Drosophila melanogaster: one gene and its partner. The protein of the gene in region 2 purifies or fractionates together with the protein of the main gene of each other region. This does not show direct contact. Each region holds a gene or a part of one and is shown on either strand. Other genes may lie near its edges.

Region 1 (4,718 bases), on a different chromosome or scaffold from region 2:
GGAGATACTCATGAGTTAACTGCTTGGCAACGGGTTTATCTTGCTACTCACATCTGGCACCGACTTGCCGGCGCTCAGGTTGTAGATCTTCACATCGTTAACTTCGTTTACGAACATCTTGAGGGACGATTTTTGCTCAAAATTAAAACATAAACAAACGAAGTCCGCAACACGTGCGCCCTCTATCGATAGACACGATTGTCGATAGCATCTGGCTGCGATAAGCACCTATCGCGGCAGTGTGACCCTTGGCTTGCCAATTGCTCAGTGTGACCGCAGGAAACCAAGCAAAACAAGAGAACGCAAAAGCAGTGAAAAAAGACTACTGATTTGCATCGACCTACCAATTGAAAATAATCGCAATAATTGCCTCTCGGTGCAGCCCCGCAACCCCGCGAAGCCAGTGTGCGTGCTAGCACGAAAGTGAACTGCATTTTGCATCGCCAAATTGCCCAAAAATTGCAATCGAATTCCGCACAGCCAAACAACAATACGCACACATACACACAGTACCCCCCGCTCTGCGTAACCGCCCTACGTTACACATTCCGTTCGCTCCCTAAGGTGGACTAAAACTAAAGTGATCTAAAACGGTGAGTAATATTCGTTGTTTTTCCTTAAGCCAATTAAACACTGATTAAATTATGCGAAATGGAAAACCGTCTGCGAAGGGGTGACGCAGTGCAGCTGTGGGTGCTCCGCAACTTTCCCTTGTGCTCTCGCTCTCTCTTGTTTTTGTCGTTAGGCAGCAGCACTCCATTGTTGTTGTATACACCCCCTGATTGCTTTGATACCCTGCAATGGGGAGTTACTGTTTTGTGACCAAGTTAAGAAAATAAATATGATTTACAAAAATCGATTAATTCTGGGGATGTTTCAGGTTTTTATGGTGTATAATTTATTTTTTGAATTTTTAGGGGATGGTGGGGCAAAAACGGCCGCCACTCTACTTAAAAATCGGTAGGTGAGGAGTTTGTTTAGTATACGCTATAAATAAATACTCTAAATTAGTTTTTATAAGATGGATTATTATATGAGTGTATGAGTTATCATAGAAATATTTACCTGTGCTTATATATTAATTTATTATATGAATTATGCAAACAAGGTTTTTTCAAAATGTAGGCGAGCATGAATAAAAAATTATAATAAATCAGAAGTTTTCTTAGTAGTTGTTATCAGTTATTAATATATTTCTTTTTCATTTTGTTGTGTCTTATTGCGTTGTTGTCTTCAATGCGGGCTTATTTTATTAGTTTGAATGGATGTGCGCTTATTTGTAGATACTCAAATATCAAATCGTATTCAGTTATATCTTAGAAATGGAATATAAAGCGCACATTTATAAAAGTATATTTATATTTAAGATTTTTTGCCAAAGGGTATACATACTTCGTCTGTGTATAAATATATATTTCTCATACTCCTTTCGTTATTTTCCCTGTTATGGGTGCGCCGCTGTGTTCCTTTTATGAGGGGCAATGATGATCCACTTCCATTCAACACATTTTGCAAATAAGTACATATGTACTTCGCCTCCATTGATTGCTCCACTGATGTTTGGCCTTTGGCGCTTGACTGATAAGACTCGAGACCGAGACCTACTACTTAGTTAGTCTAAACTGCCCGTCATAGAGCCTATTAAACTGATATGCACTTGTCACTTTGACAAGCAATGATAAGCGATTATAACTGTATTTGATGATTTAAGTATGAGCAATTAAGAATCCATAATTGATACTCATCTTTTCACACTATATGCTGCTAAGTCACATTCTTTTGTATGAAATTCATTCATATGAAGTAAGGCAGGATGATTACCCTAAATACAAACTAACTTGATGAATAACTTCGCGCGTACTGCTCTTAATAATTGAATTCCCACGATTGCTTGCTCGGCGACCTTGATCCAAATCGCTTTCAGCTTGGGCGAAGGGTTCAATTCACTCTCTTCAGCGCCCCTTAACTGCGGACAAATCAAAGGCTTTCGAACGACACGGATACTGCGAATGGACAAAGTCAAGTGGCATGAAGTGGATATACCCGCCGCTCTTGAAGCTTGCCTCTTTCTTATTTTTTTTTTTTTTTGGCTTCAGTTGGCAGGCAAACAAACCCGGTCGGCTGTTCAAACACAAGCAGGCCTTAAAAAGAAATATCGGGGCCAGTTCGAGAAAGGGGAACAAAATGTGGTGTCGACGCAGAACAAATTAATGCAGCGCCTCGGTTTGTTGATAAGCAGCGACTACGGTTGGACATTCAAATGAGGAGCTGATAGTAGTAGTTAACACTGTTTGATTGGGTCAGAGTTCATTTCTGCCGGTGTCAAGATGAGCAAAGTGCGCAGCGTGGTGAACAAACTGCACGAACGCATAGACTACTTTATTGAAAAATGTGTGAAATATTCTATATACTCAATGACTCTGCAATGTAATAATAATAATAATTTCGCTTGCTTTTTAGGTCCCAACATGACTGCAGCGCCATACAACTACAACTATATCTTTAAATACATCATCATTGGTGACATGGGCGTGGGCAAGTCCTGCCTGCTCCACCAGTTCACCGAGAAGAAATGTGAGTAGACTGTGCTGAGTAATAATGTATGTAATAAGAACTAATCTCTACTTGCCGTCCTGCAGTCATGGCCAATTGTCCTCACACCATTGGCGTGGAGTTCGGCACACGCATCATTGAGGTGGACGACAAAAAGATCAAGCTACAGATCTGGGACACAGCGGGTCAGGAGCGATTCAGGGCAGTGACACGCTCCTATTACCGTGGAGCAGCTGGTGCGCTGATGGTCTACGATATTACCAGGCGGTAAGCGAAGCAAGCTACTATTTGAGAAATTGCTTTACAACTTGACCATTCCAGCTCCACGTACAATCACCTGAGCAGCTGGCTTACCGACACTCGCAATCTCACCAATCCCAGCACTGTGATCTTTCTCATTGGCAACAAATCGGATCTGGAGAGCACTCGGGAGGTTACCTACGAGGAGGCCAAGGAGTTTGCCGACGAGAACGGCCTAATGTTTCTCGAAGCGAGCGCTATGACGTGAGTTTCAACTGGAAGCATAGTGTTTGAGCATATACTGATTATCTTTTTTTTTATCGCCCAAACAGTGGCCAGAATGTGGAGGAGGCTTTTCTGGAGACCGCACGCAAGATTTACCAGAACATCCAGGAGGGTCGGCTCGATCTGAACGCCTCCGAGTCCGGAGTTCAGCACAGGCCATCGCAGCCGTCGCGAACTTCGCTGAGTAGCGAGGCTACGGGCGCCAAGGATCAGTGCTCGTGCTAAATGAATGATGGAACCTAACTTTACGCAAAACCTAGTTATACAAATCAACTTTTATTTTTAGCCGACTCGTAATCTACCGATGCCCAAGCAAAAACCAATGTATGTAGTTAAATAATTCGATTAAGCATCAATGTGTGAGCCAACAACAGCGACAGCAACCACAAAAAAAAAAAAAAACAGAAAAAGAAAATATAAAGTCCTTTCGCTTAATAAGACGCAAGCATTGCAACATTTATTGTATCGGTTAAGCATAAATACTAGAAAATTAAACATGTTTGTTGGCGCAAACTAAAGTTTTGACCATGAAATTTCGAAAAGTTTATCGCACTAACACCATCCTTCGGTCTCAATTTATAGATGAATTCGTTTGAGATATAGATCATGTTTTTGTTGGCTGATGAATCCCTGTATATAATATATATATGTATGAATTTTTGTATCTCCCTAATTTTTTGTTGAGTATTTGTTGTTGTCGCGTGCAAGAATTGGAGGAAACGATCAATGTTATATGAATATTTACGATGTATTAATGGCATAATGCAATAGGAAATAAATAAAATGGTATTTATAAAACCCCTACCAATAGAAATGAATTTCTCTTTCAAATAATTTAAATTTTAATTTGCATATTTAACCATTCGTTTATATTTAATTCTACACCAAATCGCTGGATAATTTTATAATTTACCGGATTTCCATTTAATAGATTTAAATTTTATAAATATTTGGGTACTTACGATTTACTTAAATATTTTGTAAAAAGCTTTTTTAATCCATTTAGTGGAATACCCTCAACTTTGACTTGCGCATAACTTCATTCTTGTTTTATTTAGTGATGCTAACGTTGGGTTGGAAATCAGCTGATTATGACTATGAACAATAAAGTTTGTAAGTCAAACAACGATTTTTCGTATACTGTTCTTTTGTTTGTTGCTGGTTGTCTAATTAATCATTTTAACTGGTTATCAGTCCAATTTTTGTTTTCTACACTACACTATTCTACACTATTTTCGATTTCCTTGAAATTTAGCGGGAAAAACTCTGAGCTAGCATCTTCGGTGGCATCGCTGTGTGCGCGCTTTTGTGCGAATGCCATGGTATGCAAATTAAATTTAATTTATTCCGATCATCATGAAAGTGACAAAGTAGCTGCTTAAGTAGCCAGGGAAGCGCACAACGTAATCTAATCTCGATCCATGATGCAAATCAAGCGCCTCCTGTGCAAATCCTGCGGCCTGGGCACCCTTCTGGTGGCGGTCGTCTGGCTGCTGGCGCTGCTTTTCTACTCGCACAGCCTGCGCAGCTCCATCCGCTCGGCAGGATGGAGGATCGACGAAGGGAACGCAACGCCACGGGCCGAGCTGAGCTACCAGGCCAGGGTCACCGTCGGATGCACTCCAAATGCCAGCATTACC
Region 2 (5,341 bases):
TTCCCAAACCATTCACCAATCCCTAATTATTTTTGTATTATCAAATCCGCAGTACGTGTTGTCCGTTTTTGTCTCTAATTGTTTAATGGTCAGATCATGAGCCAGTTTTTGTTTGAATATGCCTAAAGAGCGCCCTCATCCAGATCACGGCCTTCTTCCAATCTGCACAGATTTGAAGACGATCGATGATTAACATCACTTTGACAATTTAAAGAAACGTTTCTAGACTATTTTGAGGGATTACTCGGATGGGCTTGTTAACCTGTTAGGTTGCCACAGGAACTTGACAAAAACTGTTGATGTGTGTGGTCTAGAATTGTTATTAGTTTAATGAAGTGTAAGCGGCTTGAGTATATTGTGAAAATTTATATGGTTGGATATAACTTCCATTCAGAATTAATTGAATTCACCGTACACTTACATTTAAATCAAAAATCACCGTTTGAAATTTATAAAATACGAATTTGGAAACATTGAAAAGGTAAAGAATTGCGGGATTAAAGAGATATCATTATGTTTAACGAGCTAATAAAGCTTTTCGTACTTTATTTTTTCTGGGTATACAGAAACGCAATGATCCCATATTTCTTGATTTTTAAATTATATATAGGTATATTTTAGTTCTCAGAAATAAAACTAACCGTTGGGTTTTATTTAAATGTTTTCTTTTATTGTTTTGATAATTGCTCCTTAACCTAAAACTAACATTTGTATTAAAGTACTAATTTAAACAGTCTTAGGGGTGTTAAATGTAGGTCTATACGAGTAGCAACATTAAAGTACTGTTAAAGTTTTCAAACGACCCACAAGATTAGGAACAAGCAGGGATCGTCTCAAAATCCAAAGTATGGATAGGTTGGTGCAGTGGTCATCATTGAGCTCTTCTGATCAACCTGATGATGGTAGCCGCTAATATGGTTGCCTGCGGCAGAAGCGGGAGGGAAAAAGGAACCCGCAAAGTTGTAGCTGTCCCACGTGGAGGGGTGGTGAGAGCCCGAAGCGGCGGCAGATGCAAACTGGGATCTCAGCTGCTCCGCGGATGTAGCAGGAGTCTGCGGCATTGAATAGGCAGCCGATGGGTAAGTAGCATTGCTCGATCCCACGCCGTAAGTGGAGGTCATAAACTCGCTTCCAGTTCCTGGCTGCTGCGCTTGCGTCTGTACGGGACTGTGGGCGGCAGAGCTGGTACCCGAGGTGCTGCTGGCGGGGGACATGGATGCAACCGATCCACCATAGGCAGCATGATTTTCATAGGCTCCGGATGATGGCCAGCTCTGTGAACTGTAAAGGCTCATTCCCATGTTTGGAGCAGGGGCGGCACTGGTAGTGGGAGTTGCGCCAAAAGAAGTAGATGTGGGAGCAAAGCTAGGCACCTGCTGGGTGTTCAGTTGCTTGCGCAGACGAGCACGGCGATTAGAGAACCAAACTTGGACACGGGCCTCGGTCAATCCCGTGCTCTGGGCCAACTCCTCCCGGGTGTAGACATCGGGGTACTGTGTACGGGCGAAGATGCGCTCTAGGGCGTCGATCTGGTCGTTGGAGAATGTCGTCCGGGAACGCCTTTGTTTCCTTTTTAACTGCACACTGGGCTCGGCATCGTCCTCGCTCTCATCCTCGCTTCCCACAGAACCAGCGCCTCCGCCGAGGATGCCGTCGATGCTGTGGGAGGTCCCTGATCCGGAGGATCCTCGCAGAAGACGCGAAATAGAGCTCACCGACGGAGCATTTTGCTTGTCGCAGACTCCCGCTTCGATTAGCTTGGCGCGGATTTCCCAACTAAAAATACCGGGCTGCGACTGTTTAAGTTCCTCGATTCTGGACTCAATGTCTGGCGTGGCTACACGGGGCTTGCTGCCACCGATTACTCCGGGCCGAATGGAGCCAGTCTCCTGGAAGCGGTTTAGAATCTTTGAGACGCAGCCATGAGAGACGCGCAGCTGGCGGGAGATGACACAGGGACGGACTCCAGCTGCTGCCATCTCCACGATTTGGCGACGGATGTGATTGGGCAACGGACGGCCGTTGATGAAGACGCCACCCAACTGGTTGACACGACCTTGTCCTGGAAGAATTAGAGAAACAGGCATGAATACACTTGCAAGTCAGCATTTGTTCGTAAGTACGTCCATGGAAGTCTGATCCCATTACAATATCTTAAGTACGTTAGTTGTGTGGTCTTGTTTTCGGAACGATATTTAAATTAACTTTTTTCCTTGCTCCATTGAGCGAAAGAAAGTAATCTAGTTAGACGGCATTGACCACTTCAATTGCTTACTAACTGAACTGCACTAATCAGGATAAGCCGCAGGATCAATACGCACGATCTTTTGTTGAAGATTGGCACAAACGATACCATAGCCATTTGTAGACATAACAAAACGCAAATTGGTCATTTGCGTGGGCCTTTTTGAGAAAATAGTAAGCCTCTTGCAGACGAATGGTATGCGGTGGTGGGGAAAAATACCAATCTCGACAGGGGACGCGGCTGCGAACATAGCTGCATCCCGGGCCGGCTTTTGCAATCAAATCAAACTAATAATCCATAAGAGCAGCAGATGCCCAGCTGCGCCGGCTAATACAAGTGTGTGTATATGAAAAGGCGGCCCCAAAACAGCCGTAAAGAGAAATGAAAGCCCGGTCCCTGTGCAGGGTCTGATGTTTGGGGCGCTGACGTTACTGAGCTACGTGATACACAAGACCCCGAGCTCCAACACAGACACTGAGTCGATTCAAGATCAAAGCCCAGCGACACGACGCCGCCGTGGCATGAGTCGAGACATGAGCTGGCAAGACGGTCGCGCCAAAAAGTCTGCAAAGTCCGCACCTTAAGCTGGGGTTCGAAGAGGTTGGCTTTTCACTGGGTCTGGGTATGGCCATTGCCTGTCCGGGCTAGTTGCCGATTACAATCAATAAGTCAGAAAGCTGATCATGCTGCCGAACGGGTAATGATCCCTCGTTTGAAAACAGCGGGCGAAAGCGCTGCCCCAAATGATGAGCCAGCACTTTTCTGCGTCTGAATCTGGCGTTTTGTACCAGTAATTGTGGTAATTGGTAATGGTCGTTGTGATCTTGTATCTATCTGTCGGTGCTTACCTTGAAAGGGATATCCGCCAAAGTAGGGTGTCATGTTGAGAGCCGAAACAGCCATTTCCTTGCGGTAATCCTTTTGAGAGTTCTTCGGAGTTTTGTTAACACTTTTACTTATACGTTTCAAATTAATCTTCGCGAGGCCCGACTGTTAGGAATTCTAAATTATTTTTGGAGTGTGTATCTGCTGTTGCGAGTGCGCAGTGAATGATGATGCTGCTCGGTTGCTTGACAGCTCGAAACTGATTTTGAAACGGTCAGCCGCAAGACTAAAACGAATCCGTGAGATTCTCAGAGCCAAGAAACTAGTTTTGTTCAGTGAAGAAGCAGTGCGGGCGCGAGGGTGGAATTGCAGGCCGGCAGCCAGGCGATGCAAGAGCGAGAGGCTGCGATCGGTACCGGTGGTTAGAGCGGATCAGCTGCTCAGCCTGAAAGTGTGAGCGAGAGCAGTGCCGTCGAACCAGAAACGAGAGAGACTCCATAGCATGACTGTAATTTCTTTAGCTCCGCCTCCAGAAAACCGAACAGAATTCGGTTTAGTATCCCTTCCTGAAGGATTTGGGATTTATAAAATTCCGAGTGGGCTCAGTCGGTACTCCATTATGATTGTTTATTTAATATGCGCTTGATTTGAAGTTATGCTTTGGGACGAAAATCATAGGCTTGAGGTGGGTGAGCTGGCAAGCTGATTCCGAATATCGTAAATATATTGTGAGCACTATTTCCATCGCCGCCACAAACAAACTGTTGAAATATCCATAGAAAAACCTTGAATGAACGGGCAAATAAAAAAAGAATGCAAAAGGTTTCTAAGACCGCAACAGACGGTCTATGAAACGCATTTAACTTGCATTTTATTTTGTCTGCAAGCCGCCCTCGCCAAACCAATGGCCTTGGTTAAATGGAAAAAGGCGTGGGGCTAAGATACGCGTGTCTGGTGAAGTCTGTGGCAGGATTTTACTTTTCAAACAAGTGAACGCGATTGATTAAATAGTTGCTTTCAATTGGAATTTGAATTTAAAGACAGCCGTATTGAGACTAATGGCTAAATAGTCGACATGCTTCATTAAAAGTTCATTCCGAAGTTGTGATTCAATTACTGGCTCTACTTAACAGACACTGTTTGCAAAAGCTAATTAGAAGAGCCCCATCTGTAAAACAACTCTAAAAATTAATATTCATGACAAAAAGAGAATGGGAACGGCCTTTTGTATGTGTTGCTGAGTGGGAAGCTGGGTAAAACATTTTCGCACAGGTAAAAAGGAAGAGGAAATGTAAACTTCATTTCCGAGTCATGCACTCGGTTAATTTTTGAGACTGCTTAGCTATGAGCGGTCAATATCAAAGGCGTTTTGGCCATGTTGCGTATACGCCGCGTGCGCGAGCATTGAAATTATGCAGCATCATATCCAAGGCAAGGCTATGTACGCGAACAATGTAGACAAAGTTTGTGGCCCCTGGTTTTGGGGCAGGCAATTGTCGAGATACTCGTCCAGCGGTATATGTATCTGTGAGATACTTTCGGCGTGGGTGCGATGGTGAGTATATGCTATTTGGCAATAATTTAGGTCCATTGTTTGGCTGGCCGTTACGCTCTGTGTGGCTTTGCCGCAAGGCAATCGCTCAAATCATTTGACAACTGAAACTGCTACTGTGCGATTGGCAAAGTCTTCGATGCCGACACTGCCTTAGATGCAGATTCCGATATGGATTGTGCGTCAGTGCGAATGATGAATCGGAATCTATTGAGCATTCAAATGGCAAGTGTTCGGACTCTGTTTCTCTCCATCGACCAGGTCTCCGTTGACCTGGACTAACTTTTGTAAATAAGAACTTATCTGGTAAATACAAAAAGCAGAACCGACGCCAAATAACAAAATTCTTTTCACTCCTTGACTGCGGCATTTTTATTGGTTTTTTGAAACATTTTTCTAAGCCAGTCATAGACGGAAGGCTCAAAGGCAATGTATTCGCCTGGCAGTCGAACTGTACATTGCGTGGTTTACCCCAAGTTGGAAAATTCATTTGTGAACCGGCAGGCGAAGGCTGCAAGCGAAGGAATTGACTTGAGTGATGGCTTTAAAATGCTGCGGAATTCGATTTCATTTCTCAAACGAAGGACCGTGACAGGCAACTCCAATAAAGCTCTCTCGTATTAATACAACTAAAAAAAAACGTTCTTGTCGGGCACAATTTGTCATAAACGCCTTTTATTAGTGTATAATGAAGAGCTCTTCAAAATACTGTGCTTATT

What was found. The genes of interacting proteins can lie anywhere in the genome.
Region 1: the proteins of gsb (region 2) and Rab14 purify together in Drosophila melanogaster (affinity purification with mass spectrometry, with the first as the bait; one large-scale study listed by BioGRID). This does not show direct contact.

What each region holds. Positions count from the first base shown.
Region 1 is NT_033779.5:14,354,881-14,359,598, forward strand, and holds Rab14 (Rab14), read left to right. Parts: upstream 1-2,160; 5' UTR 2,161-2,327; coding exon 2,328-2,391; intron 2,392-2,400; exon of another isoform or gene 2,401-2,460; coding exon 2,461-2,574; intron 2,575-2,639; coding exon 2,640-2,820; intron 2,821-2,874; coding exon 2,875-3,057; intron 3,058-3,125; coding exon 3,126-3,303; 3' UTR 3,304-3,884; downstream 3,885-4,718. Other genes in the region: l(2)34Fd (lethal (2) 34Fd), read right to left, coding at 52-117; Pgant35A (polypeptide N-acetylgalactosaminyltransferase 35A), read left to right, coding at 4,500-4,718.
Region 2 is NT_033778.4:25,059,955-25,065,295, reverse strand, and holds gsb (gooseberry), read right to left. Parts: upstream 3,333-5,341; 5' UTR 3,149-3,332; coding exon 3,094-3,148; intron 2,063-3,093; coding exon 834-2,062; 3' UTR 653-833; downstream 1-652. UniProt on the Drosophila melanogaster protein: Expressed in segmentally repeating pattern to define the polarity of embryonic segments.